Drosophila melanogaster: one gene and its partners. The protein of the gene in region 2 purifies or fractionates together with the protein of the main gene of each other region. This does not show direct contact. Each region holds a gene or a part of one and is shown on either strand. Other genes may lie near its edges.

What was found.
Region 1: the proteins of rictor (region 2) and CG1703 purify together in Drosophila melanogaster (affinity purification with mass spectrometry, with the first as the bait; one large-scale study listed by BioGRID). This does not show direct contact.
Region 3: the proteins of rictor (region 2) and RpL18A purify together in Drosophila melanogaster (affinity purification with mass spectrometry, with the first as the bait; one large-scale study listed by BioGRID). This does not show direct contact.
Region 4: the proteins of rictor (region 2) and Sec63 purify together in Drosophila melanogaster (affinity purification with mass spectrometry, with the first as the bait; one large-scale study listed by BioGRID). This does not show direct contact.

The regions. Positions count from the first base shown.
Region 1 is NC_004354.4:11,608,511-11,617,462, reverse strand, and holds CG1703 (uncharacterized protein), read right to left. Parts: upstream 5,537-8,952; 5' UTR 5,359-5,536; intron 5,288-5,358; 5' UTR 5,286-5,287; coding exon 4,199-5,285; intron 4,127-4,198; coding exon 2,508-4,126; 3' UTR 2,335-2,507; downstream 1-2,334. Other genes in the region: Met (Methoprene-tolerant), read right to left, coding at 1-595; RPA3 (replication protein A3), read left to right, coding at 1,709-1,945, 2,017-2,118; CG2247 (uncharacterized protein), read left to right, coding at 6,635-6,986, 7,050-7,261, 7,750-8,061, 8,156-8,760, 8,823-8,910.
Region 2 is NC_004354.4:19,254,980-19,262,758, reverse strand, and holds the start of rictor (rapamycin-insensitive companion of Tor), read left to right. Parts: upstream 1-1,518; 5' UTR 1,519-1,708; coding exon 1,709-1,772; intron 1,773-2,915; exon of another isoform or gene 2,916-3,014; coding exon of another isoform or gene 3,015-3,042; intron 3,043-3,112; coding exon 3,113-3,323; intron 3,324-3,386; coding exon 3,387-3,932; intron 3,933-4,392; coding exon 4,393-4,546; intron 4,547-4,604; coding exon 4,605-5,468; intron 5,469-5,535; coding exon 5,536-5,712; intron 5,713-5,775; coding exon 5,776-5,984; intron 5,985-6,152; coding exon 6,153-6,941; intron 6,942-7,043; coding exon 7,044-7,168; intron 7,169-7,237; coding exon 7,238-7,779. Other genes in the region: Vav guanine nucleotide exchange factor, read right to left, coding at 166-420.
Region 3 is NT_033778.4:17,545,906-17,549,438, forward strand, and holds RpL18A (ribosomal protein L18A), read right to left. Parts: upstream 1,558-3,533; 5' UTR 1,522-1,557; coding exon 1,504-1,521; intron 1,082-1,503; coding exon 566-1,081; 3' UTR 501-565; downstream 1-500. Other genes in the region: cyp33 (cyclophilin-33), read left to right, coding at 1-32, 89-261, 335-479; MESR4 (misexpression suppressor of ras 4), read left to right, coding at 3,182-3,533.
Region 4 is NT_037436.4:7,357,060-7,366,330, reverse strand, and holds Sec63 (secretory 63), read right to left. Parts: upstream 5,771-9,271; 5' UTR 5,424-5,770; coding exon 5,300-5,423; intron 4,693-5,299; exon of another isoform or gene 4,588-4,692; coding exon 3,878-4,587; exon of another isoform or gene 3,810-3,877; coding exon 2,561-3,809; intron 2,479-2,560; coding exon 2,300-2,478; 3' UTR 1,965-2,299; downstream 1-1,964. Other genes in the region: Sh3beta, read left to right, coding at 121-169, 223-1,085; pst (pastrel), read left to right, coding at 6,307-6,410, 6,481-6,863, 6,942-7,480, 7,551-7,640, 7,716-7,885, 7,956-8,793.

The DNA of each region.
Region 1 (8,952 bases), 7.6 Mb from region 2:
GCTGATGCTGATAGAACAGGGTCTCTATATCCCTGGGTATTAGCTGCTGTCTTAACAGATCCTGATCATCGGGATGCGTGATCTGCAGTAGATTCTGGCCATACAAATCGGACTGACAGTGACCCAATAGCTGCTCCACGCTGGTGGATACCAAAACGATTTGGCCACTGCAGGTTAGGGTGAGGAAGCAGCAGTCCAGCAGTTGCATTAGAGTGTCCGTTAGATGCAGACTGGGATTGGGTAGATCTCCGACAGGTGAGGCAGACATACCCGTTCCCTTGAGGCCGGTTTTCTTGCGACGTCTGGAAGCGGACTTGCCAAAGACATACTGAAGTCTCAGGCCATGGGTGGCGAATCTAAGGACGGCGGTTTTGTCCAGGCGACGGGAGGATTCGGCTGCATGTGGTACCATGGTGGCCAGCTCCTGGATGCTGGCATTAAGCTTATCCCGTCGCTGTTTTTCGGCAAGGTTACGGGCCTCCCGTCCATTCGCTGGATCTGAGGAGCTCCCACTTCCCGATCCCGATCCCGATCCCGATCCTGTCGAGCCAGCGGATCCTGTGGAGCCCGTGTTGCCCGTCTCTGGTGCTGCCATTTTGGACTTTTTGGGCGTTTTCTGGAGTTACTGCCTCCTTGTTTTCCACTTGTAATCCTCGATTTATGGATTTTCCCCTTTAATTGGCGCCTTGCGGTAAATGAAAATCGTCACTCTCCATAACAGGGTGTACGCTCCGCACTTCTAGAATTGTTATTATGGAAATTTTTCGGCTAAAATATATTTTTTATTACTTTTGCAGCTTTTAGTTTCTTATTTTTGGCTGTTGTCTTGTTTTTTTTGCTGCTTTTAAAGTTTTCAAGGTCTCGCTTATGCTGTGCTGTTGTTTTTGTTTTTGCTCGCCTCCCCTCTCTCGCTCACTCTCCTTCGCTCACTGACACACACACACACACGTCACTCTCACGCAACGTACATATGTTTTCTCTTTTCGCTTTCGTACTTTTCCACTTGCTTTTAGTCTTATTATTACTATTATTTGCTTCCCTATTTATTTATGCGTTTCGCCTTGTAGTTTTTTATTTTTCGTTTTTTTTTTACGTTTTGATTGCGTTGCGAATCTGAATCTCCTGCTTATTGTTGTTGCTGTTGCTGGTGGCGTTGTTGTTGTTGCGATTTAATGCCCGCAATAAGGAAATTCGGAGGGCGGCGGTCGTTTTAACAACGCACTTGCTGCTTGCACTTATTTTTGTTTATACTAAGTGATTAATTGTTTATTTGTAACATTTATTTTATAACAATAAACATTGGCCAGTCTAAAAACTATCGATACATCGATGTAACTGGTTGTCGTACTAAAATTCGCACGTTCACACCGGACAAAATATCAGAAAGATTCGAACATCTTGTTCGCTGTCGATAACATTGTTGTAATACATGTAATCTATCAGGTCTTTTTATAATTCTATTATAAATTATTTTTATTAATTCTTATTATAATACATAAGTCCACAGTAATAATGTAATAACTTTTGATGTTACAATAAATCCATAAATATTTTTGCTACAAAATTCGAATAATTTCGATAGCAGACGTCATGCAATTTTATTATCGATTAGCACGCTCGATAACTATTGGCGCTCTTTCTTGTTTACGGCATTTCATTTTCTGCTGAAATTGGCTGTTTTTTGAACGTTATTAACTGAGGAGTTATTATGGATGCCTTTGATCCACGCTCGATTATCAACGGCGGCATGCTGAAGCAGTTTTCCGGCCAAACCGTGAGCATAATGGTTCGCGTGGAGAGCGTCGCGGGATCCACTTTGCTGGCCAGTTCCACAGACAACCACAAGCTAAAGATCAATCTGCCGGGTGAGCTGGGCGCCGCCGAAGGGGCCTGGGTCGAGGTCATTGGAGTGCCCCATGGTGCGGACACCCTCAGGGCCAAGGAGGTGGGTGCACTCAATCCATGGAGTCATTTATTTCAATGATCCCAAACCATTTGCCCACTATTCATTTGCAGGTCATCGAGTTTGGCGGCGAGAACATCGACTTCGATAAGGATGGCTATAATGGATTGAGCCACCTGATTAACAATGTCAAGGCCTTCTATCGCAGCGGCTAGGATGTCCACAATTATATCTAAGAATTAATATTATGTACTCTAATGTTATTTTTTCCATTTTTTTGGAGAACACTCAGAGCTGGCATTAACTTTAAATATAAATCATCTATCTACATATATTACGAGTACAATTTACGGGTGTTTTAACCAGTTCCACGTATATTCTACAACAAATACTTAATACCCACAATTTAATAACATAAACAACACATTCTTAAACGCTCTTGTGTAATAACATTTACTTCCACAATTTGTTATTGTATATATGTTGGTATAAAAAGACTAACTAGCAGATAATCAATTCAACAGTTGAACAATTAACATAGGGCGAGCCAGCTGACGAGTGATGACCAGTTGCATGGACTCCAAGTCCGTATGCAACTTGAGGGTTATTGCAGCACAGCCGCATTGGCCACCACGCTAGGATTGTTGACCACCTCGCCGAGCGAATCGAGAACCTCCTTTCTGTAGTCATCGAACTCTCCAACAATCTCGTTGATCGTCTGATCCTCAATTACGTAGAGAGTGCAACCTGTTTCACGGATCAAACGCTCGTCGTGGGAGACGATGATCACGCCACCCTCGTACTCGTTGATTGCCTCCGCCAAGGCGTCGATACTCTCGATGTCCAGATTGTTCGTAGGCTCATCGAGAATTAGTACATCCGGCGCACTCAAGCATAGCTCAGCGAGGGCCACACGGGCTTTCTGACCACCGGACAGATCCTTCATCTTGATGGTGTGTGCATGACTGACCAAACCAAAGGAACCCAATGCCTTACGCGCCTTTTCGTGGGGCAGATTGAACAGACGCTGCAGGTACTCTGCAGCCGATTCCTCTGCCGTGAGATGTTCACCTGAGTGCTGATCGAAGCGGCCCACATGAAGTCGGTGATTCTTGCGCTGCTCACCCTCCTGCGGTTCCAATTCACCGAGCAGCAGCTTGAGGAAGGTTGATTTGCCCACACCATTGGGTCCCACGATGGCCACTCGACTAGTTAGATCAATGCCAAAGTCAACCTTGATGAACAGCGGTTTCTGGCTCGGAAAGGCGAAGGTGACATTGTGGACACCCAGAATGGGTGGCTGGAGCTGCGATGGCTCCGGGAAGCGGAACTTGACAATATATTCCTTGGGCCTGGCCAACAGCTCCTGAGGTCCCTCATCCTCGTCCTGTTTCTGCTGCTTAGACTTGTTCTTCTCCTGCTTGCGTGTGAGCGATTCCTTCTGCTTCTTTTCCGCTGCCTTCTTCGACTGACCGTGGGCCTTCAGCTCGCGCAGGCGCTTCTCCTGCTTCTCGTACTCCTTGATCATCTCGCGGCGTTTCTGCACATACATCTTCTTGAACATGGAATAGTTGCCCTTGTAGTATTGCAGTTTCTTTTGATCCAAATGTATGATCTCGTTGCAGACGTTGTCCAAGAAACTCTGGTCGTGGGACACGATCAACAGGGTCTTCTTCCAGCCCTGCAGATAGTTGTCCAGCCAAATGACAGCATTAAGATCCAAATGATTGGTCGGTTCGTCGAGCATAAGCAACGTGGGCTCCAGATAGAGAGCTCTTGCTAGGGACACTCTCATGCGCCAGCCTCCGGAGAATTTGTTCGTCGGCCTGTCCTGCATCTCTTTGCTGAAACCCAAACCGGCAAGGATTCTTCGTGCCCTGGCTTCCGCCGAGTAGGCTCCAATGGCTTTCAGTTCCGCGAAGGTATCGTTTAGCTCCTCCTGCACCGTCAAATCGCCAGCGACAAACTGTTTCTCCAGTTCATCGGCCTTCTTTAGCATCTCTGTGCGACGCACATCAGCTTCCAAGATTGTATTGATGGCCGTTTTATCGGTAGCTACGACTTCCTGTTCGCAAAGCAGCACATCGATATTGGGCGGTATGGCAAAGGCACGGGTGGCAATATGCCGGAGCAGGGTGGTCTTGCCGTGCCCGTTGGGACCCACCAAACCATAACGGCGTCCATGTGCAATCAATAGGTTGGCGTTCACAAATAGATCGTTACCTGAAAAAAAAAAAAATGTTTGGATTTAAAATTGATAATGCACAACGAAAAGTTATAGCAATGATGACTCACCCTTGGCTGAGATGGTGAAATTCTCGATCTTGATATCCACGGCTTGCTCCAGAGCCGCCTTTTGACCAGCGCTCTTCTGCACCTGCGACATGGTGAAATTGTTGTCCAAGTCCGAGTGACCGGCACCACCCTTCTTTGTCATCAGCTCCATTTGGCGTTCGTACTCCTGCTGCTTCTTTTGCTTCTTTTTCTCCTTGTGAGTGAGTTTCTTCTCCTTGGCTTCCTTGCTCTCCTCGAACTTGGAATCTACCTCAGCATCGGCTTCCTCGTCGGGTTGGGGTTCAGACTCGGGTTCGGGCTCGGCCTTGGGTACCGGCTCAGGTGTCTTTTCCTTGAGACTTACTGCCGCCACTTTTTCGCTAAGGACTTGCTCCACTTTCTGCTCCTCCACTTCCTTTTCGGGCTGCTTCTGCTGTTCCTTTTTTGACTCCTTGGCCGCCTTGTTGGACAGCTGTTCCTTCTCCTCCTCTTCGCTGTCATTTGGCAGATCATCGGCAACCTCATCCTCCTCATCATCGCTCATGGCGAACATGTTCTTTTGCTGAGCCTGCTGCTTCTTCTTGGACTTCTTGGAGGCTGGCTTGACAGCAACCACTTCCACCTCATCCTCCTCATTGTCCAGGTCGTCCAAGTCCAGCTCCGGTTTATCTTCGTCCGAGAAATCGTCGTTCTTCTTCTTGTTCTTCTTGTTCTTTTTGCTGGGCTGTGGCTTTTTAGCAGCTGGCTTGGATGCCAGAGGCGCCTCGTCGTCATCTTCATCGTCCAAGTCGTTGGCAGGCAAACTCTTCTCTGGCTTCTCATCCTCGTCGCTCCAGTCATTATTCCTCTTGCCCTTTTTACCCTTCTTGGCCTGCTTTTTGCCGGCAGTCTGCTGTTTGCTCTGATTCGATGAGGCTATGCTCTCCAGATCCTCGTTGTCCCGATTCCTGGTCGTGACATCCTCGTCGCTGGAGTCGCCGCCGCCACCTCCTCGCTTTCCCTTCTTACCACCCTTCTTGCTTGTCGGTGGCTTCTTCTCCTGCACTTTCTCCAGCTGCTCCTCGTCGTCATCAAAGCGCTCCTTCTTCTTACCCTTGGCCTTGGACATGTCTGTGAACACATAGGGATAAAGAGATGCTATTGTATGGCCTATAGTACTTGCATTTAGCGCTTGGACTCACTTGATTTGATCACAGATTACAACAGCCGCCCTCGGATTTCACGTGCAGAGCTGGCAATATGTAGGTGTATATATGTAGGTGTGTAATGTCGCTATATACATATGTACAACCAGTTGTGTCGCCAGGGATGATTGCACGCGATATTTTGTTGTTGGACTATCGATGACAGCACATGGAACGAAACTGTGCGATGGAAAACCCGTTAGGTGTCTCCAAAAATGGCAATTTCGATAAACGTGTCTTTTAGTATTTAAGTGTTGAGATAAATATAAATATATATATAAATATATGTTAAGACATTCGTTTGAATAAAATCTGTGATCTCAGTGAATGTATATGCCGGTAAGTTTTAAAACATATCATATGCTAAAATTTGGTATTTACATGTGTTAGAAAATCCTACAACTCATTCGATAGTATTGAATAATCGTTGTCGAGATTTTCCATCTAACCGAATAATTGTGTGAGTGGAAGTCGACAAGTTAAGTACGCTTGTAGGTTCGTTTTATATTTCCGAAAGAAGTTGTCGTGTTCAGTGTCTTTTCAAGTGAACTTTTTATTTCTTTTACAAAGGTAAGCTCAAAAATTAAAACAAAATTGTTGAGTTCTACATGATTTTGACACGGTTAGCTGAACAATCCGGTGCAGATTTAATAAGCGTCGCATCCACACACACACTTACTTGCAACGCAAGTTCGCGATACGCCGAAGAAGCGGCAAAGCATAGGCTGAAAACACAGTAACAAAGCGAAACGGTCCGAAAGAGTGATAGTAAATTTAACTTAAACGAGAAAAACTGTGTACTTTGTGCCGGCGAAAGTGCAAGAACCCGCTATTCAGTTTTTTCGTATGTGTGCGTCAGGTTTCCTCTCGATCAACAATTGTGGCGATCAAAGCAGAAACGTAAAGAAAACAAACCGCGAAGCCGCGCAACCCTGACACTCGCATAAATTTACATGTGTGTGTGTGTGTGTGTGAGTTGTGTGCAGATTAACCGGCAGAATTCGTTTATTGTAAAGTATTGTATTAAAAAGGGCTAACTCTGATTAGAATTTACATCGCATACTTTTTAAATTAAATGACTTGACAATAAAACGTCGGTTGTGGAAAAAGTGACAACCCAGGTCTTCAGGGTCAATATTTTTGACAGACGAAATTCCATTGAATTGTTTGCCTATCGGTTCCATAAGTGATCACTATTAATGTTTTATGAGAACATATACAACATATATCTAGAAACTTAGCTTATTTTTTTGCACATCGATTCCAGAGCGACATGGATGTGCCCGATGACAATTTTGGGCCGTCAAAGCCGTGTGACAAGCAGCCCTTAGCTGGCAACTCTAGCAGCGCTACCAATTCATCGTCGCATACCGGTGGTAACGGTAACGTTGATTCCGCATTCGAATCATCTACAGCTGCAGGACCTAGTTCCGGCGCCAATCAAAGTAGCACAGGCGGTGCTATAGATGAACAAGGTTCCATTGGTGAACAGAGTGCCGGCGTGGGACAAAACATTATTGAGGGCGACTTGCTGGTGTTAAATGCCAATTCCACAAACGTGGATCTTTCGACTCACCGGGATGGCTCTAGCTTTAAAGACTCGAACACTGAGCAGGGAAAAAAAAGTAAGCATAAATAAATAACCAGCATCTGTAGCATAATAACACATCTCATCTAAACCCACTTAGGTACTATGATTAAGACTTCAAAGACATTAAATGACAAGAGTCAATTTGAACGCCGCAGACGCCGTGGCCGTCAACGTGAACGTCATCGTGAGCCCAGCACGCATCGTGACGATCTTGAACCGTGCGATTTAGGTCTAATGGGATGGACTGGAGAATTCCCAAAGCTAACACCCATATCCAACATCGAAAGCAACTCGGATAAAGAACCGCTGGTGAGTAGAGGGGATGGCGATGCTGTCCAGGACACGAGCTGGCCTGCTGCTGTCTGTTCAAGCTTATAGAACATACCTCTGTATACTCATGTTCAATCCACAAATGGGCTAATTTGAATATCCCTTTCGGTCGGTATTTATTCACAAATACACATAATTAATCAATATAATTTGAGTATAAGTTTATTTTAAAACTTATACTCAAATTACTTTTACCTGTAAAGTAAACTTATGTAAACATAAAAATATTGTAAATAATCTTGGGACGGAAATTTGCATAAATCGAAAGAACTTAAGGTTATTAGATCCCCATAAACTGTTTTTTGACTATTTTTCCAATCAAACTTGGTAACTGGTATACAGAGGTCTATGTTGTGCGGACATCGTTTTGTTTGTTCTATATTATTGTATTTCTCAACACGAAATCGTATCTGTGCTTATCTCAAATCTCAACCAAACAATACACAACATGCACACTACGGCAATAGTCGACGGCCAAGCCAGGTGTACTGCCATGGAGTGGCCTAAAGGTTTTTCCGAGAGTGGAACCACAAGAGGAGACAGCGGCAGGTACAACAAAGCCGGCTCATATCACTAATAAGTCTGAGGAGCAGCAGCAGCAGCCGTCTCTAACAACGCCGATAATGACGTCGCCACTCGACGCCTCCCAGGGGGAATTGGATGCAGCCATTAAAAGCCCTTTGAACGCAAAAAAAAGTCCAAATGCAACTGGTATTGCAACAACATCCAAGTCCAGTACAACACCAACCAACATGCAACCATCAGACTTATACAACCAGGTGGAGACCCTTAAAAAATCTTATGCTAAGAGTCGGAAATTTCACAGATTTACTAACCATTGATCTTCTCTCCCTCTTGTATCTTCCCCCATAGGTTGAAGATAAAAAAGAGGATACCACCAAGAAGCAGGCGGAAGCTGATCATACCTTGCACAAATCACTTAAGGACGCTCGCATCGTAAAACGTTCTATGTCCACCCATTCGCCTCCGGAGCATTCGCGTCGTTCAGTGCGCTTCAGTAGCCATACGCCTCTGACCGATGAGACGAACATAATGAAAGAAACATCCACCGAAACCTCTTTGAAAGTTATTTTCGAACGCCTAAAGCAAACTGGCGTAGAGCGAGATCTCTTTATACCCAGCTCCGAAAATCCCAGGCCTCGCAGCAATGGTAGCCCGGTCCCAAAGGTGGCGGAGATGGAACATGTGGCGGTTGTGAAGTGCAAAACGGTGGCGAAGCAAGGGGCGGTGGTGAAAGGCAAGGCTGGGTTGGCCAACCCGTCCAACGTAATGCCCCAGACGCCTGCCTTAACGGTCACTGGAAAGCGAGTGTCGAAGCCCAAGGTGCCCAAAGGGGCAAGTCCACCGAGTGAGGGCTGGACCTCGACCAGGGCGGTTAAGGGGAATTCTCGGGCAGACTACACCAACAGCAGCTCGTGCGGTTCACCGATTGGTAATACCAACATTCGCAGGCGCAGGTAGATATATTGTATATATATACACATATCAATCTCTATATACTCGGTATTTTCATGTCCAGAGCTCACGCAAAGGCAGCCCCTGATAAGTCAAAGCCTTGTGTGCGCTGCGCGGCTTCTGTTCATCCGTCTGGACCTAAGTTGTGCAAGGTAATTTACGAAATGCTATTGGAGATTCACTGGCTTATAATA
Region 2 (7,779 bases):
AATTATTGTCACTAATTGTAAGTGATGTTTGTTTTAATGATTTAAATTATTTTTACAGATATACTTCCCCCTATTTCTCTCAGTGTTGCTTGTTTACAAGGTTTAGAGTGTGCCACCCATTCACAATTTGCCAGCAAAGTCACTTGCTTCTCGCATTTCACTCACCTGTGCCATTTGCGGCTTGCGATTGAACTCGCGCGGATCCAAGCTGCTGGGGTCCAGGTGGATGACCAGGTTGCAGAGCAGCACGCCGTCGCGCAGCGTCATCGCCAGGATGCGGATCTCGGCGTCCGGCTGGGCGGCCTTGTGGTCGGGCGGAATGACCTTGCACCTGGTCAGCCAGGCGACGCACTCGCGCCACAGATCCCCGTTCACGCCGGCCACGCCCCCAAAACTGTTGCTGCTACTGCTGCTGGCCATCTCGCAGTGGTTGGGTTGGGTATTACTATATGGATTGGGATTTGGTTTTCGTTTCGGATTTGGAGGAGGGGTTGCGGGTGGGGCGCTGGCGTTGGCGGTGATGGTGTGAAGTGGGGCGCGGGCCCAACTGGCAAGTGTTGGAGGGGGGAGGAGGAGGGTGGGTGGGTGCTACTCGCGTCGCGTTAATGGACACAATTGAGACTCATCAGTTGGCCGTTGCGATTGGATTGGTGAACCCGAGCACAGATACACAGAGCAAAAACGGAAGGCAATGAAGAGCACAACACTAGCCAACACCACACACAACAAAAACAACGATTTCGGGACAATTCGAGCGTAGTGGGGTGTATCGCGTTCGCGAAGGGCTCACCCTGTGCACCGGATACGCGCGAACAGTGCTTGCGGCTGCCGAGTTGCTCAGAAAGTGCTCGCCACTGTGGTTTTAAAACTAATTTACTTTATTGCAAAATATTGCGTTTATCGAAGAGGAAGAGCATACTCGACTTCGATAACAGTCTGGGCGGCCGTGTAACCGCTTGCGGCTCCTTCGAAAATACCAACTGCATGTGTGGTATTTACGATATGTTAATAGCATTGTTACTTTGTGACGAAAATTAATTGTGCACCTCGGTATGCTTTAATATAACAAGTTGATGTAAATTAGTAAGTAGAGTAAATACACATGACATATATTGACTCCAAAAAAAAAGTCACCAAATAATCTTGCAGAAGAATATTAAGTAAATTTTCCCTTACAGTATTTGTTTTAATTTCGTAATTTATAATCATATAAAATAGTTCTACGATAAGGAGAATTCCTATCTGGGGGTAATTCAGCTGTCCTCGAATTTCTCAGGTAATATTTTGAATATTTCCGTTCAATTTTTATAATTAGTGCACAAGAAATTCATTATATTACAGACACTAGCCTTTCAGAGGAAGTAAGCAAGCAAAATTGTATGTCAAATGTAAATGTAAGATGTAAGTGTAAAATGAAATGTTTTTCATTGAAAGTCGCGTAAATATTCCAAATTCTCGTGCCCGCGGTGGCGCTTCGTAGTTGGTTTTTTCTCCTGCGCCGACGACGGTCACTTTAAAGCGGCGAGCAATAAAAAAAATGTAAATTGTGCAGCAAGTGAAATTGAAAAGCAATATATTTAAGTGTGATCTGTGTGTTGTGGTGTGTGGGTGTGTGTTCGACATACAGCTAATAGGCGAGCGGGCGACGGCGCCGCACCCGCCTCGCCACGCCCCCATCGGCGAATCGAAAAAGAGGCGAAGCAACGCGATGGCCTCCCAACATTCCAGTTGGCGTTTTGGCAAGCGGAGCAAATTACAATTACGCATCAAAGGTAATGTAACGAATGTGCTAATTGACATCAAACACGGCGACGGTGGCATCGGCATAATGGCGCAATCACTCCGTTCGACGTTTTGTCTCACATGGCTCGCCCCACCGACCCCCGCCATTCCATTCAGTTTGCATTATTTTGCATTACGGCGAGGCATAAGCATTACAGCAGCAGCTGTTGTTGTTGTTGTTGTTGTTGTGGATCTTGAGCCGACCTCATCCCCAACCCCACCTACCCCTCCAGCAGCCTTCTGTTTATTGGACTTGGCCAATAATTGGTAGCAAAGGGTTCTTTTTTTTGTTGACATTGATGGCAACTAGCAACAACAATAATATGTTGTTGAGGGGGGCGGGAATGAGCACACTGGCAGCATTGCCCATAACGGTAACGATGTAGCAGCGATGCAACAGTGATGTACGCATGTATCGACAGCATGGCATTCTGATCAACATTTCTCCTGATCTCCTCAGTGTTTCCTCCGTTATTTATACATTTGTTGTTGTTCTCGTTTCTATTTTCTATTTAGTTTTTATTTTTATTTATGTATTTTTTGGTTTTATTTTGGTTACTTTTGTTGTTGTTGCTGTTGCCATTTGACCAAATTCTTCGACTACATGTTGGCCGATTATTTATAGAACGGTCGCCACAGCATAGAGAGAGCCCCCAAAAACGATGACGCAGCACAAGCAACAACATAGACATTCACTAAACATCGACCATAACAATAACAGCGATAGCAACAGCAGAAACAACAACAATAACAACAGCCACTACTAGAACTACAAAAACAATAACATACGAAATGCTCAGCTTGGTTTCTTCCATTCATCGTGTCCTTCACTCTTTCGTTCTTCTTCGCTCGTCATGCTCTCTCCTTTCTCTCTCTCTCTCTCTCTGTCGCTCTCCCCCTTTTCCAACCAAATCCATCATGCAAGTACAGTTAGCTGTAACGACGACAACTGCAACAACAACGAAACTGTTATGACGCTGTGTTGTTGTCATTTCACGTGCACAGCCTGCGTCAGCGTCGGCAGAGACAGAGGCAGCGGCTGAGCTGATTAGCTTTCCACGATCCACGATCAATTTCACTTTGATGGCTTTCTAATGCAAGTCGCTGTGTGCATGCATGTGTGCACCTCCTCTTGACCGTAAAAACCCCATGTACTATGATGATTTGAACATGTGCATATCCGAAAAAGCTATTACTTGCAAATAATATTTATGTAATATTCAAGTACATCGATGTGGCCATATTATTCATTCATAAAAGGTTGTTTTAATTAGTAATTAGTGTGTACGGATCTGATAAGAAAAGCAATGAAACTTTTCCTCCATTACAGTTTCGCAGGATCCGGAGGACTTCTACCGCCTGGATCCACAGCGATCGGCCGCCGAAAATGCATTCGAAATATACTCGATGCTCTGTTTGGAGGAGACGCGGGACACGAAGCGCCTGTTTCTGCTCAACGCGCTGGCCTCGCTCTGTTTGGGGGCCCGAAAGGGCTCCCACCACAGCAATATACGCTTCACCACCGAGGAGCTGCTCTACTGGTAAGATGCCCGTTGGGGAAACCATTGTTCTTAACATGGCTAATTGATCGCCCTTAATTGCAGCCTTAGTGCCTCACTGGTGCACACCTTCACCCAAGTGCGAGCGGCGGCACTGCGAACGATCCGGTATGCCATTAGCACGCCCAATGACATCAAGACGTTCAATGCACTGCAGCTGCAGCACCTGCTCTGCCGCTCCATCGATCTAATGCTGAAGAACGACGACGAGCGCGTCCAGGCACTGAAGCTGGTCCGCAAGATGCTGGCCATCGCGCCGGAGGACATCAGTCCGGCGGTGGTGCGCTGCCTGGTCTCGCTGGCGGATAGCGGCATCGAGGAGAACGACAATCTGTTGCGTGCCTGCCTGGCCACCCTGGCAGAGTTCGCTGTGCTCAATCCGGCGCTGCTGATCGTCTGCGGCGGCGTCACCTCCATAACCCGCAATGTGCTAGAGTGCCACAATCCCCGCATCGCTGAGAGCCTGTGCGGCGTGCTTCTGTACCTGCTCGAGTGGCCGCAAACGAGGAACATCTGCGGTGTGCGGCTGGACTGCCTGGCAGCTCCTTATTGCGATTTCACCTACCGGCAGAGTATCGTCGATAAGAACAAGTGAGTGCCCTAGTGAAGATCCCACCAATCCCTCCTTGAATACTGCAGCTTGGCTGCAGAATACTACAAATGGGTTACCCAAAACAAAAAGCAGTTTATCAAGCCAGATGTAAGACGGATCCACTTCACTCATTAATTCGCCGAAAGTAATTTAATGTAGAGTAATTATATCTGCTGTTGAATTGTAACCAAATAATCGATGAACATCACGCCGTCTTTTGAGATTATCAAACAGCGGATGCAAACATGAAATTCTAAAATAGATAACTAAAGGCAGCACGGCCATTGACCTCGTTTCATGCTCTAAATGAGTAGTTAAATCGGGCGAAACACTTTTGGAAAATCGAACAAGACTATCCCACAAACATCTACTGAAGTTTTTTCACAAGATGTACTACTACAAGTTGTAGATAAGCGCTATCAGTTACATCATTCTTTTATAAATAAAACTATCTTTCAGGGATGCGCGCGAACTTCGCTACACCAGCTGTCGGCTGGCACTGCTGTCTGTGCTGCGCAGCTGGACGGGCACCCTCGAATTCTGTGATCCTAGCAAACCCTCAGGCCTGAAAGCAATAGTCGACGCTCTGTATTTGAACCAGATCGAAGTCAGAGTGAGTACATTCCCCTCTTAGTATCGATCTGAACTTACTGAACATGCAATTTGAACAGAAAGCAATATTGGATTTGCTGTACGAGCTGCTCACGCTGCCGCAGCCAACCTGGACGGATGACTATGCGGTGGCGTTGCAGGCTGTGGATCCGTCGGACTTCCAGGACACGTGGCTGCTGAGCAATGGTTTCGTGTCCGCCGAAGGGCGCTCCATTTTGCCAACGCTGGCGGCGCGTGCACCGAGCGTAGTAGAGCAGCACCTGGCGCTGATGCTGTACTGTTTCCTCGAGACTGGACTGCTCAATGCGCTCGTCGAGGTTGTGGTGAGCAGCGATCAGTTCGTCTCGGTACAGGCTACGGTGCTGATTGGCAAGATCCTGCAGCTAATGCACACCCACCTGCCCCCGGATATTTGCTGTACGAGTCCGGCACTGCCCACGCTGGTGAGTCATGCCACATTGGGGAACCAGCAGGCCAATGCAGCGGTGGCCGCTCTGCAAAACTACCAGAAGTTGCTGCGCCAGCGGCCGGCGTCGCGCAGCTTATTCCTAGACAGCATTATCCAGGGCGGTGCTCTCATCCAGACGCGACTGTTTCGTCGGCACCTCAACGTGCAGGAGCAAGCGGGTCCTGTGCTACAGTTGCAGGAAACGGCGGAGGCGGCGGCATTTGCGGTACCGCCTGTCACTCAGTTTCGCGGCACCCTCGATCGTTCTCGGCTGGATTCTGTCTCCTCCAGCGACGAGTCCAACTCACAGGCTTCGACCTCGTCGAGGTCCAGTTTTCGACTGAAGCGTAAGTTCCTTCCGCAAGCCTTATATGATAACTTCCGAGCCTTCAATCGGCTGCTGACAGACTCCCGTGTGCTGAGCCAAGCGGACGCGCATCTTTGGGACTGGGATGTTATTACCACCATACTGAAGGTAAACTAAATCAGAAAATATTATGGTATCTCCAGTTTATAAACGATTCTCATCTTAACATTTGCAGTCGAATTTAATCCGCAAACTGGACTACACCCAAGGAAAGTTCCTGAAGCGACTCGTGGACTTCTACAAGCCGCGCAATAATCGGTTCTCTCACCAGGATTTGGTGCCTGGACAGAGGCTGCCTACATATGTCAGTGCCGGATTGGATTTAATTGACGTCCTCCTGTCCAGCAATGAGGTAGATTCTCTTAATGATGGCCTAATTAGTGAAAATAGCCTAAAGTTACTCGTTAATTTGCAGCTTGAATGTATGCGCTTTATAACCGACTACTTTTCGGACATCAGCCAACAGCTGGCGGCCGTCACCACATCGAATCGTGCACACGACTGTCTATTTAGTCCACAGCATATGAATAACACGATGTGTCAGCAGTATTTCCTCTACATCGGACGCATGTGCCGAACCGTAAAAGGCATCGAAGTACTCAAAAATACCACCGTATTTGAATAGTGAGTGCTGAGTGATATGTACATAATTTGACTTAAATCTTGTCAAATTAGGTTAAAGAATCTAAAGATGTTAGACCAAAACGAATCGACTAATCGGAAGGGGTTAACTCATTCAATATTAACTAAACCTAGTAAGACCTTCGCTAATCGAGATTTCCTTAATTTCAGCTTGATCAATTTGGTGCGGGTGACGGACCACGTCTGCTATGTGAAGCTAATTGTGTCCGGCCTGAACTACAGCTACGAGAAGCTACCACGTCAGGTGCTGGAAAAGGCGCTTACGTCGGCGAAGACACGCGGACGTCTGTACTCCACCCAGTTCATGGCAGTGCTGCTGCGTGCCCGTCTGCCTCACTTTGAGGTATGGGGCATTCCATTGATTATCAACCAGACGCGGGATTCGGACCGTAGCGTGGGGCTGGCAGCCATGGATGTACTGGAGGAGGCCTGCCACGACAAGTACTACCTGGAGGAGATTGTCAGTCGGTGGCCCAATCTAACGCATCGTGGTGATGCAGGACGGCTGCTGATGGCCCGCTATTATTCACTGCCCCGCGGCCTGAACAGTACGATGGCACGAATCGAGGATGAGATCCGCTACTGGCGGAATGGGTACAACAAGCGCTACGTGCTCCTCGTGGAAGCCGACACCCACTCAAGCCTGACGCTGCACATCCGCAATGAGGATGGCTACTACTCGCGTCGCAATTGCAACCAGAGACCACAGACTGTACCACCAAACGTTGCACCTCATCTGTACGGGCAAATGGCACAGACTGGCCAGGGTATGACAGCTCTGCGGAAGCACGGAGACCTGCCGCAGCTATTGGAACTGCTCAGACGCGCCAAATGCACGGACGATGCCGAGTGCCTTGAACTGAAGGCCGCCATTTGGGCACTGGCCCACGCCTCAACCCACTCCAATGGAATTGAATACTTTGTCGAACTGAATGCCAGGTAAGTCACATACATATCACATAACTTCGAATCGTGTCCCACGAATTTGAAAGAGTATACACAAAAGATGCAAGATGTTACAAAGTTATTTATTGTTTGTAGACTATACGAGAAGCTTATTGTTCTGGTGACCAAATGCGAGGTATATTCGGTGAGGGCCACCTGTTTTAGTGCCTTAGGTCTTATCGCAGGCACACAGGCAGGTGCCAATATCCTTTTTAAGTTGAGTAAGTGTCCCATCACAAATGTGTTTGAAAAACTGATTGTGTCCTAATTGAAAAATGCATGTTTTGCAGACTGGCTGAGCGTGCGACATGACAAGAACACAATGTGGCCCGTGCATCAGCCGGAGGATTGGATGTCCAGCCAGTACACACCGGTGCGACATTACTACGAGGACGTGCCGGCGGACAATATGACCATGATGGATGACTATATAGAAAGATTCTACGAAACGGGCTCAGACTTTTGGCACATGCTCGCCGATCAGACTGATGCGAGTGGTGGTGGTGGGGGTGTAGCCGGCACAGTCGTCGGTATGCATCCTATAGTGCAGGATCCAAATGCAACGATTACGACCACGGACAGTGTTCGCACCACGACCGATGATGTGCACCCCAGAATGTTGGTTGGAGTGGCTGCCAAATCAAAGACTTTGCCAGAAGGTAGCAATCTGCGTCAGGGCAAGCACCAACGCTCGCTCTCCGAATCGAAGACCACGGATGTGATCAGCTTGTTGGGCAGTGGTGTAGGTACGATGTCGGGAGCTGTTCTCTACCCAACGCCGTATCAGCATCGAATACGCTACAACTCGTGCACGGATTCAAACACTTCCGGC
Region 3 (3,533 bases), on a different chromosome or scaffold from region 2:
GCTGCTCCTTCCACCGCGTGATACCCGAGTTTGTAAGATAATAATTTGGCATAGTTTTCTTCATTTATGCATTCTTTCCATTCAAAAGATGTGTCAAGGAGGCGACTTCACCAACAACAATGGCACCGGCGGCAAGTCCATCTATGGCAAAAAGTTCAACGATGAGAACTTCAATCTGAAACACAACAGTTTTGGAACTCTTTCAATGGCCAACTCGGGCGCCAACACAAATGGCTCGCAGTTTTTTATATGTACCACAAAGTAAGCTGGTTTTACAATAAATAATTTAACTGAAATATTTCCTTCTACTAATTACATTTCTTTTGTTCTACAGAACAGATTGGCTGGACAACAAGCACGTCGTTTTTGGCCATGTCATCAGTGGCGCCGAGGTGGTGCGCAAGATGGAACGTTGTGGCTCCAAGTCGGGCACTCCCAGCCAAAAGATTGTCATATACTCCTGTGGAGAACTCAAATAAAGAAGCTTTCACAACTAGTGTACTCTTCAACGTTCTCATTTATTGAAAAAATCCACTAAGTCATAGGTATAGGATGCAGGAGAATCCTACTGGAAGTAGGTCCTGGGCTTCCTGAACGAGAACAGTTTCCTGTTGCCCTTGTGGTGGACACGCTGGACCAGAGGGAACTTGATCTTTGAATCGTGGAACTGCTTCACGTGCACGCGGCGGGTCTTGGCGGCAGGGATCGAGTCCACCTTAATGATCTGGATGGAGTGGGCACGGGCACGGTGGCGGGCTCCCATGTCGCGGTAGCACTGAGTGACGGCACCGCCGACAGTCAGGTCACGGTACTCGCGGTACATGTTGTGGGTGCCCGAGCGGGAATCGTAACGCAGCCAGATGCCGAAGTTCTTGATCTTCACGGGCGACGTCTCGTACACCTGCTTGATGGACACGATCTCGCCGGTGGTCTTCTTGAACTTCTTCAGTTGGCGCAGGAAGTACCAGAAGCGGGATTTGGCCACGATGTTGTCGGGGGCAAAGATGCGCATCTTGTAGAGGGGAGTCTGGGGCTCCTTCTCGCTGGGCAGCTTGCGGCCCACGACCTCGTACTCCTTCAACTGCAAATGGGATTTGGATTAGTTTAAATGGTCTACATAAAACAATTGTAAACAAATGCGAACAGTCGCAGGCAAACAAACACACGCATGGCTGTTGGTTTTTGAAGGTTATGTTTTCGGCGGCACAAAGCAGTTGTATTTCTATTATATTGAATATGTTTGAATAGTTAGTTATAAATTCGTACTGAATAATAGTTTCTCACAATTATGTAAATTACTTTTGTGAGTTAGATAGGATCACATTTTTAAGAAAAGTGGCTCGGCAAACATTGTCCACGACAATGTCGTTTTTTACACAGAAATTACGGAGTTTTAAAAAATCCAACGATTACGCCAAATAGGCTATGTTTTTGCTTATCTGTTGCACGCATTTTAAACTAAAATAATGATTGTATAAATCATTTATTTTGGCAAATACTAACCAATCCCTTGGCTCTCATGTTGGACGTTCACGCGAAAAGGAAACGGAAAGAGCTTGTCAAATCGGTATGACACTGAACCTCGATTCAGGGATGGAAAAAACTATCGATAGCTAACTACGAATATTAGTTATGATTGATCCACTGTGATACTGGACGTGCTATAATGGTTCGTTTAAAATTAAGATAATTACTCAAGATAATATTTTTAAATAGCCCGTGTAAATAAGATTTTAACAATAATTGCTGGTACTGGCCAAGTATCGATATGCTTACATTGAACCGCAAGGGAAAAGCACAGCGATGCCTGTCACACGGTTGCATTTTTGGCAGTCACACCAACACGCTGCGCCAGCTATCGAACTATCGTCCATCACTAGCTTCTGCGCGTGTTTCAATGGCATGGCTGTAAAAAAGGCGAAAAATATTGCTAAAAACTTGTTTTTCACGCTTTATTCGAGCTCTCTCCGCAGCCAAATTGTGAAATATCCAATCCCCATACGCTACCCAATGTGCAGCTACTAAAATACGGTGAAAAAGAGCGCGAACAAATCGAGCAGAACGTAAAATGCAAAGCGTGGACGGCGACGTTCAAAAAGAAGAACATTTTTTACCCCGCACAAGAGACGCGCAAAAAGGCAAAAAAGCAATTCGACAATATCATTGTGCTTCTGGTCGAAACTAAGCCCAACGGCAATTGGGTGCACTTGTGAAATCTGTTTGCATTACGTATGCGAGTCCTGCGAGTTTATAAACAATTGAAACCAGGCGTTAATTGTATAAGTTCGCCGTGGGGTGGGGGCGCCCCGCTCTCCTTCCGAGCCGTCTCGGCTCGTCCAATCCAATCCGCTGGGCAAATTCTCTCGGTTTCGGTCTCTTTTTGGTTCAGTTGTGCAGCGAACTTCCGTGAAATCGGTTGTTGTTTTGGCTACGTTCTCTCCTTGCTGTTTGCGCGCGTAAAATTCATCGCTCTTTCTCTCCCTCTCTTGCCTTCCCACTCTCTCTCCCTCTGCCGCCTACAAATTGTGGGAAAATTCTACCTAAGCAGGGTACAGCAACAAGAACAACAACAGCAATAATACGCTGAGCAGAACCGACAAAACAACAGCAACGCATAGGAGGAGAGCAGGTAAATAAACGTGCATAATTGCTGTACATTTTGATTGTAGTGTCCATTCCAAGAATATTTCAAGTAAATTCGTTTATTTTTAGCAGTAAGTGGCTCTCACGTTGCCATTTTGTTAACATTTATTTTGGTATTTTCAATTATTTTGACTTTTCGTTTGCACCAGGGCTGCAAGATCAACCAATGACCGGCGATTTTTGTGCAATACAAATGTTTATGCCGTTAATATTCTGAAAAATTTATCGTGTATACCCCCGCATAAACATTTAGCCTTTGCTGTCATTCTAATTTTTTTTTATCGAAATACCAAACCCAATATCTCGTAATAATAAATTCGTTTCATTTCGCTTTCAGCTGCGTAAAGAACAACGAAAAGCATACAAGAAAAATAGCGAGAACCGGAACGGATTCAACGCCAACGGCATGCAAAGGTAATGAATATAACAATTTTTGTCTAAAGTGCGTTTAATTAATAGCGCTCTGATTATTTGTTTTTCTCCTCTTTTCTTAAATGTTATTATTGTTTTTTGCTGACAGCGTGTGATTGCAGATAATATGATGGAAGCATTGGATCAGCAACAAGCCAAGCTAACGTCTAACCGAGATGATGGAGAAGCGGGAAGAGGATCGGAAACGGGATCGGAAGAGGGCACCGGGGCAGGTGCAGCTGCTGGCGAAGAAGACGACATCGAAGAACTTCATTATGTGCTGGACCAGGCGAAGGAGGAAAACGAGAGCCACCAACATGGACAGAACAACAACGCTAAGGGAAATGAAGATGGGAAGCCGAAAAAGAACGATGACGTGATAGATGTAACCATGGCAAATGGCCAGGGTTTCAAAGACACACCTGAAGAAGAGACGACCGGAACGGAAGAGACAGCCGAAACGGAGGAGACAGCCGAAA
Region 4 (9,271 bases), on a different chromosome or scaffold from region 2:
ATCTTGTAAATACAACTTCCACTTTACCCCCCCCCCCCCCAAAAAAAAAAAAAAAACGAAAAACCACCAATCAACAACCCACAAAACATTCGCACCCCTAATCCCACCACCCACAAAAAGACTGAAACCGAAGAATCTGGGGACAAGAAAACGGAGGAGAAAACTACAGGTAAAGTAGGAAGATCGTCCCTAGACTCTAATCAAAATTTCTACCCCGTAAAGACGCTGAAGGTGAGACCCAAGAAAAGTCTGAGGAAGTGGATACCAAGGAAAAATCAGAGGTTGAGAGTACCAAAGATGATGAGGTTGGAAAATCCGAGGATGTTAAAGATGATGAGGATGAAAAATCCGAGATTGTAAAAGATGATAAGGAAAACTCCCAGGATGTTAAGGATGATAAAACTGAAAAATCCGAGGATGTTAAAGATAAATTAGAGGGAAGTGAGGAGACCGCAGAAACATCGGAGGATGCTGACACTACTGAGAAACCAGATGTTGAGGCCACCAATGATGATGGGGATACAAAATCGGAGAAAAACGAGACGCAAGAAAAGTCCGAGGAAGTTGATGCCGTTGAAGAATCAGAGGCCGAAAGCTCCAAGGAAAAAACGGAGGAAAATGACACCAAAGGCACCAAAGTCAATGAGAATGATAAAGACGAGGATGTTGAAGAAAAGACCGAGGAAAATGCAACAGAAGAGTCCGCGGACTCGGATAGTGCTACCAAATCAGAGGTTAAAAGTACCGAAGATGATGAGGTTGTAGAATCGGAGGATGTGAAAGATGAATTCGAAGAAAATGAGACCAACAAAAAGGTCGAGGAAGTTGGTAGTACTGAAATATCCGAGGTTGTAAGTACGGAAAACGAAAAATTTGAAGATATTAAAGAAAATCCTAATGAAAATGAGGCTCAAGAAAAGCCCGAAGAAGTTATGACTGCCGAAAGATCTGTAGAGGAAACCAAAGAGGAAGAACCAATCGACGAGGAAAAACCTGCAGAAACGAAGACAGAAGACACGCCCGAAAATGAAGAAAGCAAACCGGATGGCGAGAATTCCTCTTCCGAAGAAAGCGAAGAAGAGTAAAAGAAAATCGATTGAACGACAACAAAAAACGCACTGACATCCGCATCACAAACACCAATGCACAAAACGCACACATACACACACACGCACATAAAAAAACGCACATTTAGCCAAATAATACCAAAAATGTTTTGTAAATAGAAACAAGAACCCACTAATAACGAGTCTGGTGACGGGTAATGAACCCTAGTTTAGGCCTTTATGTGACTTATTTACAATTTTTACTCCTTTCCCAAAACAAACAACAAAAAACTCGCTGCTGTCTACAACAACAATGAAAGAAGTTACCAGCGACCACAACAACAACAGCAGCATCAGCTAAGAAGACTTCAGATTCCCAATCGGATCTCTTATTGGACAGCGAGCGGGCAGCGGCTGCGCAGTAGGCGTCGACGTCAGCGCAGACAGAGGCAGCGCCAACTTTGATTTAAATTATTTTTATGATTTCCACAAACTATTCGGGCTTGTTGCAATTCTCACTTGTTTTTGCTGATTTATTATTTTATGTGTCGATACTCTAACAATGATACAACCGTTTTTTATTTATTACAAAATTAATTTACTTTTGCGCTAAAATATATTCAAATTCTAAAAGCTGTAAGCAATTAGTTTATCCAAAGGCTTAGCAAAAATGTAATAAAAAAAAAAACTTAAAAATTGCTAAGGTTTAGGCGTGGTCAATAACTTGAATGGTTTAAATTAAAGTAATTGTGATGCTATTTATTTAATTGAATAAAATGTTAATCTAGAAATTCAGCAAATTGTGCAGTAAATTTATGTTAATTCAGCATTAAAGTGAGCGAAAGTAGCAACAAGCCCGTGGGTTTTTCTTTCTCAGTTTATAACACAACAAAAGAGTAGTAATATCAATAGACTTTTGTATTTACGTGTCTCACTTTTAGTTCTTGTATCCAAATAATTAAATATACAGTACATTATAATTATGTTTAGTACAGTACACGGTAAAATGAAGTTATAGTTATTTACGCACTAGTTCGGGGTCTTTTCCATTACAAAACTAGTAAAAATGCGAAGGAAGGGTTCGCATTGGTGTGCCTCCGCCACGCGCCACGCGAAACTCATTTACTAAAAGGAAAACAAAGAGGCTTCTCTTCCGTCCCAGTGAATTAGAGAGGAGGTTGAGGTTGATTGGGGTTCAGGACGTCTATCCATCCGTCCGTCCGTCCGTCGCACTGTCCATGTAGACAGTGGATTTATTCGCCGTCCTCCTCATCGGACGTATCTGTTGTATAGTCGCTCAGGTTCTCCTGCTGATCGGTGTGCTCCGGTTCCGATTCGCTCAGATCCCACTGAGGATGATCCGTCGGTGGTGCGGGAGCCTTCTGTACATCCAACTTCAGCTCCTGCTGCTGATCCATACCCAAATACGAGTCTGAAACAGAGGAAACATTGTGTGAGAATCCCCCCTTCGAATGCCAATGTACTATGCAATCCAAACTCTTTTAGAAACTCACCCGATCTCAGGCAAACGGTGAACGTGTAGACGCCCGGCCAGCGCGGCGCGGTAAACTTCAGCTGGATCTCCTCCTTCTCGACCAGATTGGTCACATGATAGGGCGCTGTGAGCAGGGTGCGCGACTTGCGATCGCATATGTAGGTCCACCAGTACTCCTGCTTCTCCTCGGGGAAGTAGGGGCAGTGGACGGTGTGCGACAGCCGAGACTTGCCCTCGAGACGCTCCCTCTTGTTAAGCTTAGCTTGCAGTCGCTCCCACTCCTCGTCATCGTCGTCGTCCAGCGAGGAGTTGTTCTTGCCCTTCTCCTCATCCTCGCTGCCACTGCCGGCAGCCGATTCCACATCGCTGCCATCCGCATTTCCAGCCTCCGATTCGGCATCGGAGTTACCCGCCGCCGCTTGATCCTCGGATGCCGTGATCGTAGCTGTTGTCGCAGCCTTGGCCGGCACCTTCTTCTGGTTCTTTTGGTTCTGGGCTGGTTTCTTACCACCCTTTCCCTTGCCACCCTTACGTGGCTTGGCCCAGGCAGAAGCCTTCTTGACCGGCGCAGCGGCAGCAGCCTCATCCTCATCACCGGCAGCCTCCTCATTGGTCTCATCCTTGATGCCCTGCTTCTCAGGCGCCTTTGTGTCACCGAATAGCGTCTTCATGTCCTTGCGCTCCAGCGTAACCGTGACCGTAACTATGGCCCCGGCGGTCACCACATTGGTGTTCTCATCGTCGATAACCTCGCAGCGAATGGAGAAGTCAATCAGCGGCATCTTGCCCAGCACTTTCATCGTGTTCTCGTACTCAAAGTCAGATAGGTTCTTCAGAAGCTGACGGCTCTCCTCCGGCTTGAGCTGGGCGAATTGCTGCAGGTTCTTGACGTGCCTCTTCTTGTTCATAAAGTACAGATGGTCCTCGGTGAGATGGGGCAGCTGCAGCAGTGGCGATTTGAACTCCCACAGGCCTTGGATAATCATCGGCGACATTTTCATGCAGTTCTCAATCGTTTCGATGCTGGGCAGGCGGGGCACACGTCGGGCATAGGCCATCATGACCAGCTGGTGAACGCAGGAGACCATTTCTTGCACCAAATACGGGCACTTCTTCACCACAAACTGGCGATCGCGCTCCAGAGTTTCCGGATTGAGGGGCATGCGACTGAGATGGGCATGCAGGATGGCGCGAGCCTTGATGGAGTACATGCGGCACAGCGGATGCTCCTTGCACTTCTCATTCAGATTGGGCAGCTGTCTAATCAGCTGTATTCGAAAAGGAAGTGTTATTAGTGAGCGAACAACGAATGGAAATTCCAATAAAATGCACTCACCGCCGGCACCTCGTCATTGTCCGACTGCCGCTCCTGGACCTGCGAGTTGTGTCGCTTGTCAAACTCCAAACTGGCTGCCAGAACCATAAGTGCCCGCTTGAGCAGCATGTGCGGTGTCTTGTGGATGAAGTAAAAGTACATCTGAGTGGTATCGAGCAGCACTTTGTCGCCACTGAAGCGGATGGAGCGGTACCACCAAACACCCACTGCCGAGGGCATGGCCACCATGAAGACCAGGCCGTACAGACCCAAAACCCAAACGCTATTCTCCTTCTCCACAATCCACGAGGGCAGGGCGATGCCAAAGGACATGGCACCCGGTCCATCCGGATTACCATACTTCTCGTAGTTCTCCTTTGCCACATCGTCGGTCAGCGCCTGGTACGCTTTGCTCAGCATCATGAAGGACTTCTCGTCACCCGTCTCCTTGTCGGGATGGAGCACCTTGGACAGCCGGTAGTAGGCCTTCTTGATCTCGGCCTGCGACGACGTCGGCGGCACATTCAGGATCTCGAAGGGATCGAAGCTGGCCATCTCGTAGTCGAACTGCGAGACGCGGTACGTGAGGAAGAGCAGTAGGGCCCACCCCAGCACTATGGTCAGCTTGATGGTCCATGACGTGAGAGCTCTGTACGGCTCGGCATTGGCCAAGATGGTCTTCTTTTTCTGGCAGTCGGCGCACTGACATTCCTCTTTAAGTTTGCTGTTATCTGCAAGTATGTGTACGAAAATTGGGTCAGTACGGGGATTATATAGGCTATTTTAAAATATTTGAAATTTATCATTTTCACTTAAGATGGCTAATAAAATGATTTAAAAAAAAAACGATCTTTACAGGTACCTGCTAACCTGATTACGATTAAAATTAGTTGAGGTCTGTCTACGCATATTGCATTTTTTTTTTTACCGGGAATGCCAGCGCTACAGAAATGAAAATCTCGCGAGAGGAAAATCGTGAGAGAGCAGCCGATTGGTCAGTGAGCGTGTGTGCAAAGTGCACAAGCACAGCATGATCGCGATAAGTCAAAGGTAACTTGCTCATAATCACTCCTCCTCCACCGATCACGATGATAGGTAAGTTATCACGATATTAGCGACGCATGGACGCTTGTGGAGCGTTGAGTGCGCTGTCCCAATTGGAAAACGAAGAGAGCTCGACTTGCGGTAATCGCAGCGCAGCTTTCACCCATACGAAGACGATGAGCTGACGTTGTTAGAATAACTTATTGGAACGTGTCCATTTAGTTTGTTGGTGGCGGCGGGAGGGTTAGAGCAGGAGAGCGTGGTAATCACATGTATGTCTATGCCTTCGCCTTACTGGCACTCACTTACACACATACACACGCGCACAGCTGCAGGTGGAAAATTAAAAAACAAGAGCGGAGAGAGTGCGATTTAAATCGGCTGGCAAGCGGCACTTACCTTGTTTCTTTTTACGTGGCCAATAGTAAATGGTGGTCGGTATCAATATTAGCGCCAAGAACGATAACACAAAGTAGTAGAACGTTCCGCCGCTCTCATCATACTGAAACTTTTGACCCGCCATCTCCGACAGCGACTATATGTATTTTGTATTTTGTCTGGCACTGCCTTTTGGCTCCGTTCCGTTCCGTTCCTTTCTCTGCCGCCGCTTTCCCCTGCACTTTTCCTCCGGCAGATCCAGCTGATGTTGCTGTCGCGTTGGAGTTATCGCTACAATCGCTGCGCCCCGTGGATTCTCGATCGACACGCGGCGATCTGCGAGATTCGAATGGGGCAGGAGCTGGTGTTGTTGCTGCTGCTGCTGCAAGATATCGCGAGATTGGCACGCCGCGAACTTAAAAAACTCTGTATTTACACCGACGCATGAGACTGACACGTAGGGTTGTTTGGCTCGTGCTGGAACCGATAGGCGTAGCTGGAGCGGAGCCGGTTCGATTGCACGGCTATCGATAGGCGGGAGGCAGCATTCATAGTTTAGGGTTGCCAAAGCTGGCAGTACTAAGTTTAGAATCTGATTTTTTAGGTCACCAAGTACTAAAAATGTTTGCAAGCAAAACTTTTGTCAGCAAGTTTTCAATGTAAATGTATATTTTTAAATGGATTTGCCTATATATATATATATATATATTTTTTTTTTTTATAATATAATATGTGCTCGCTAGAAATACAAAGCAAATATCTGATTAGCATGAGCTCATCGTCTCGTTACATTTTGGGTTTAGCACGCTAGCAGCTTTTTAAATTTTGCTCACCAAAGAAGGTGACGGTGGAATACGGGGTATTCATATAAAGGTATGATCCCTAGAGAGCTTTTCTGCCGTCTTGCCTTTTCGGTATTTCGAGTACGATCGTTCAATTAGTGTGCGCCTTAACTTAAAAGCTGGTGATTCCGTGGCACAACTCCATTAGCAGCACAACTGTGGCAACGGAAAGGTGACAACTTAGGGATGGCGAATAGATTAGGAAACCATGAAGTTACCCGCACCGCACGTGAAGTGCAGCAAAACTTTGCCGAGTCGCTCGGCTACGCGGAAGAGATAATCTGGGATCTGTAAGTACTGCTACTGCGCATTAGAATTTTGAATTCAAAGTATTTGGGGTAATGACGTAACCCCTTACAGGTTGTCCCATGAACAACATGACGTGCTAAGGGGCAAACTCTGTCAATTGATTCGTGATTCTCCGGAACCGAAAACTGCAACGGAAACTGAAAAAGACAGAAAAATCCGGCTGAAGGTCAACGCAGATAATGAGCGCGCCCGTCAGATCATTTTCGATTCCGTTTGGCAGCAACGTGAGTTGGACTTACAGATTGTATATAGTATAGTACATTTTTTCGCTGCCTTAACTGCGTACAATTGTTTTCCAGGAAAGTATACCAACCGTCAATCGCTGACGGCGATCATTTACGTAATGGTGGTAACTGACGAAACGGACGTCAATCGCGCCGAGGACGCCAGAGTCTTCAGCGTGCACCCAGTCTTTCGGGCCCGTCGATGCGTCGGTGAGTCATCCTTTGCATACGTATGCAATTTACAATATATTTCCTATCTATCTATCAATGGATCCATTTAATACTCAGTTGGCAGTAGTGGCACCAGCAGCGTCAGCTCGAATTGCTGCAATCTGTTTATCGACGAGCTTGGTCGGGTCTACCAAAACTGGGAGATGTATGTGACCACCAACGAGTTGCCTGCCGGAGTGATGGTGGCCCCAGAGAAGGGTATTTACCGCTTGGTCAGGGATCAAGTACGTCTGGATAAGTACACAACGCCGGCGGGCACGACCAACAGGAAGGTGCTGGGCTACCTGGATACTGGGTCGGCAGTCGGAGGATTTTTTGCTGCCTGTGTGCCCATTGCTGCCCTGCTAACGCTGCCCGTATCCGCTCCGCTGATGGGCGCAGCGGGAGTAGTAGGTTTGGCCAGTGCTGGATACGCCGCATCGCGGTCTGGCAGCAAGCTATTCGATCGCAGCCAACATGAGCAGTCTATCAATGTGACGGACCGCGAAGCGCGTGGTCACTGGTTGGGCGTGGCTGGTGGCACTGTGGGATTGGCAGCGGCTGGGGCCACCACAGTCTTGACAACGGCCACAAATGCTGGACGCGAGGTGGGAGCGGTGAGTCCTTAAACCCCCCCCCCCACGCAATCAACAATGGAATAAAAATGTTAAATATGTACTCACATAGATCACCCAACTGACTGTGAATAGCATGAACATATCCTCGATTGTGGTATCGGGCACTGGAGTTGCCAATGGTGTGCTGGATCTGATATTGGCAAGTCTCGAAACTTAGACTGTGATTAGATTAGGCTAGATAGATTAAACTTATGAAATTTATGATCTTCCACAGAAAGCAAAAGACGGTGACGAAATAGTTGCGATGGATGTTTTGCAATTGTCCGCTTCGTTGGTGCTGCTCACGCACAGCGTCTACAACTTTAAATTGGCTTCGACCATAATTAATGAGACAAGCAATGCTAATATTGCCGACTATCGTAAAAACCTTTCTAATAGGCAGCGGTAAAAAACGTTCAATGAGATACATTCTGTCGTAAACAAGAGTTTCTACTTGTATTTTTTTTACCATCAGGCGAACCTTTGACAAGGCTGCCAAGGAGACCGTTCGGATGCAAGGCAACACTCGCGGCAAACTGGACATTATACGCAACGTAAACGAAATTTCGCCACAAGAGTTTAATGATCTTTTTAAGATCAACAAAAACTTGAATCAGGAGGGCGTGCGATACTCATTCGCACCCGATGGCAAAGGATTTTTACTAAATGGCGATGTGCAGACGACGGGTGCGGAATTGCGAGCTAGTGTACAACATAACCAAGGAGGGAATGTCCTAGGCAAAGTTAGTCAGCCCATTCCCGGTAGCCATGCGGGTTCTGGTCGCCTTCAACTGGGCGGCGTTAATCAGGTTTCCCGTCTAATCGGACCGCTGCCCACATCCCATCCTCGACAGGAACCCAGTACCTATGCCGCCGGCGTGTTCGCCTTGGAGCTAAGCTCTGTGTTGGTGGGCGGTGTTGTTTTCGTACTGGAGAAATACGGAAAAATCATATTTGAGCACGTGATCAATGCTGAAAGTTTTGAGAGCCTAATCAACATCATGGCCAATAAGCTTGATCCAAAAGTCTTTGACCATATAATGCTATTGACCAGAGCCTTCATGGACACCATGCTGGAAGACCTCACCTCGGTGCTAAAGTTCTTTATATCAACGGAATCCGTTCTTTACCGCATTTTGTTGTACATTTTACGGAACTTCGAGGACGTGCAACTTTCGGTTATTGCGGATCACACTTGTGAGATCGTAGAAGCCGTAAGGGTGTACTTCATGTCCCTGAATCCAAATGCGTTCCCGGGTCTCCTTCAGAAGTGTCCGAAATGTATCGGCCACTTCAGCGTTTGTCCCTTGTAAGTGTTTAACGAAATGGTTCGTTTAACATTAGAATTCAAGGGCCATCAGCATGTCATAATTGATGCCCAATTGTTTAACCACAAAGAAACGTTAGCTAGTTCCGCAAATAATCAATGGGATAACTTACTTAATATGAGCACAAATTGACAAAGATGAAATTGTTTTAGCATTTAAATAAAGATTTTATTAACCCTGTTGAAATAATTGTAATAAAAGGAGAATTTTGAACCGGAATGGTTCTGATTTCCGGTTTTCGAACACAGAATATGTGAATCATTCATTGTGTAAAGGGGATTTTTTTTAATCTTTAAGAGTAATTCCTAAATTTACAATCTGATGTCATCTATACTATGGTATAATAGCAACAGCCATACCACCAAATCATTGAATGCCTTAGAATATAAGTCATAAATTCAAGTATCCCATAAGAACAACCCCAATTCTGGTGACAATAACAAATCCAGCCTGCCCTAATGTA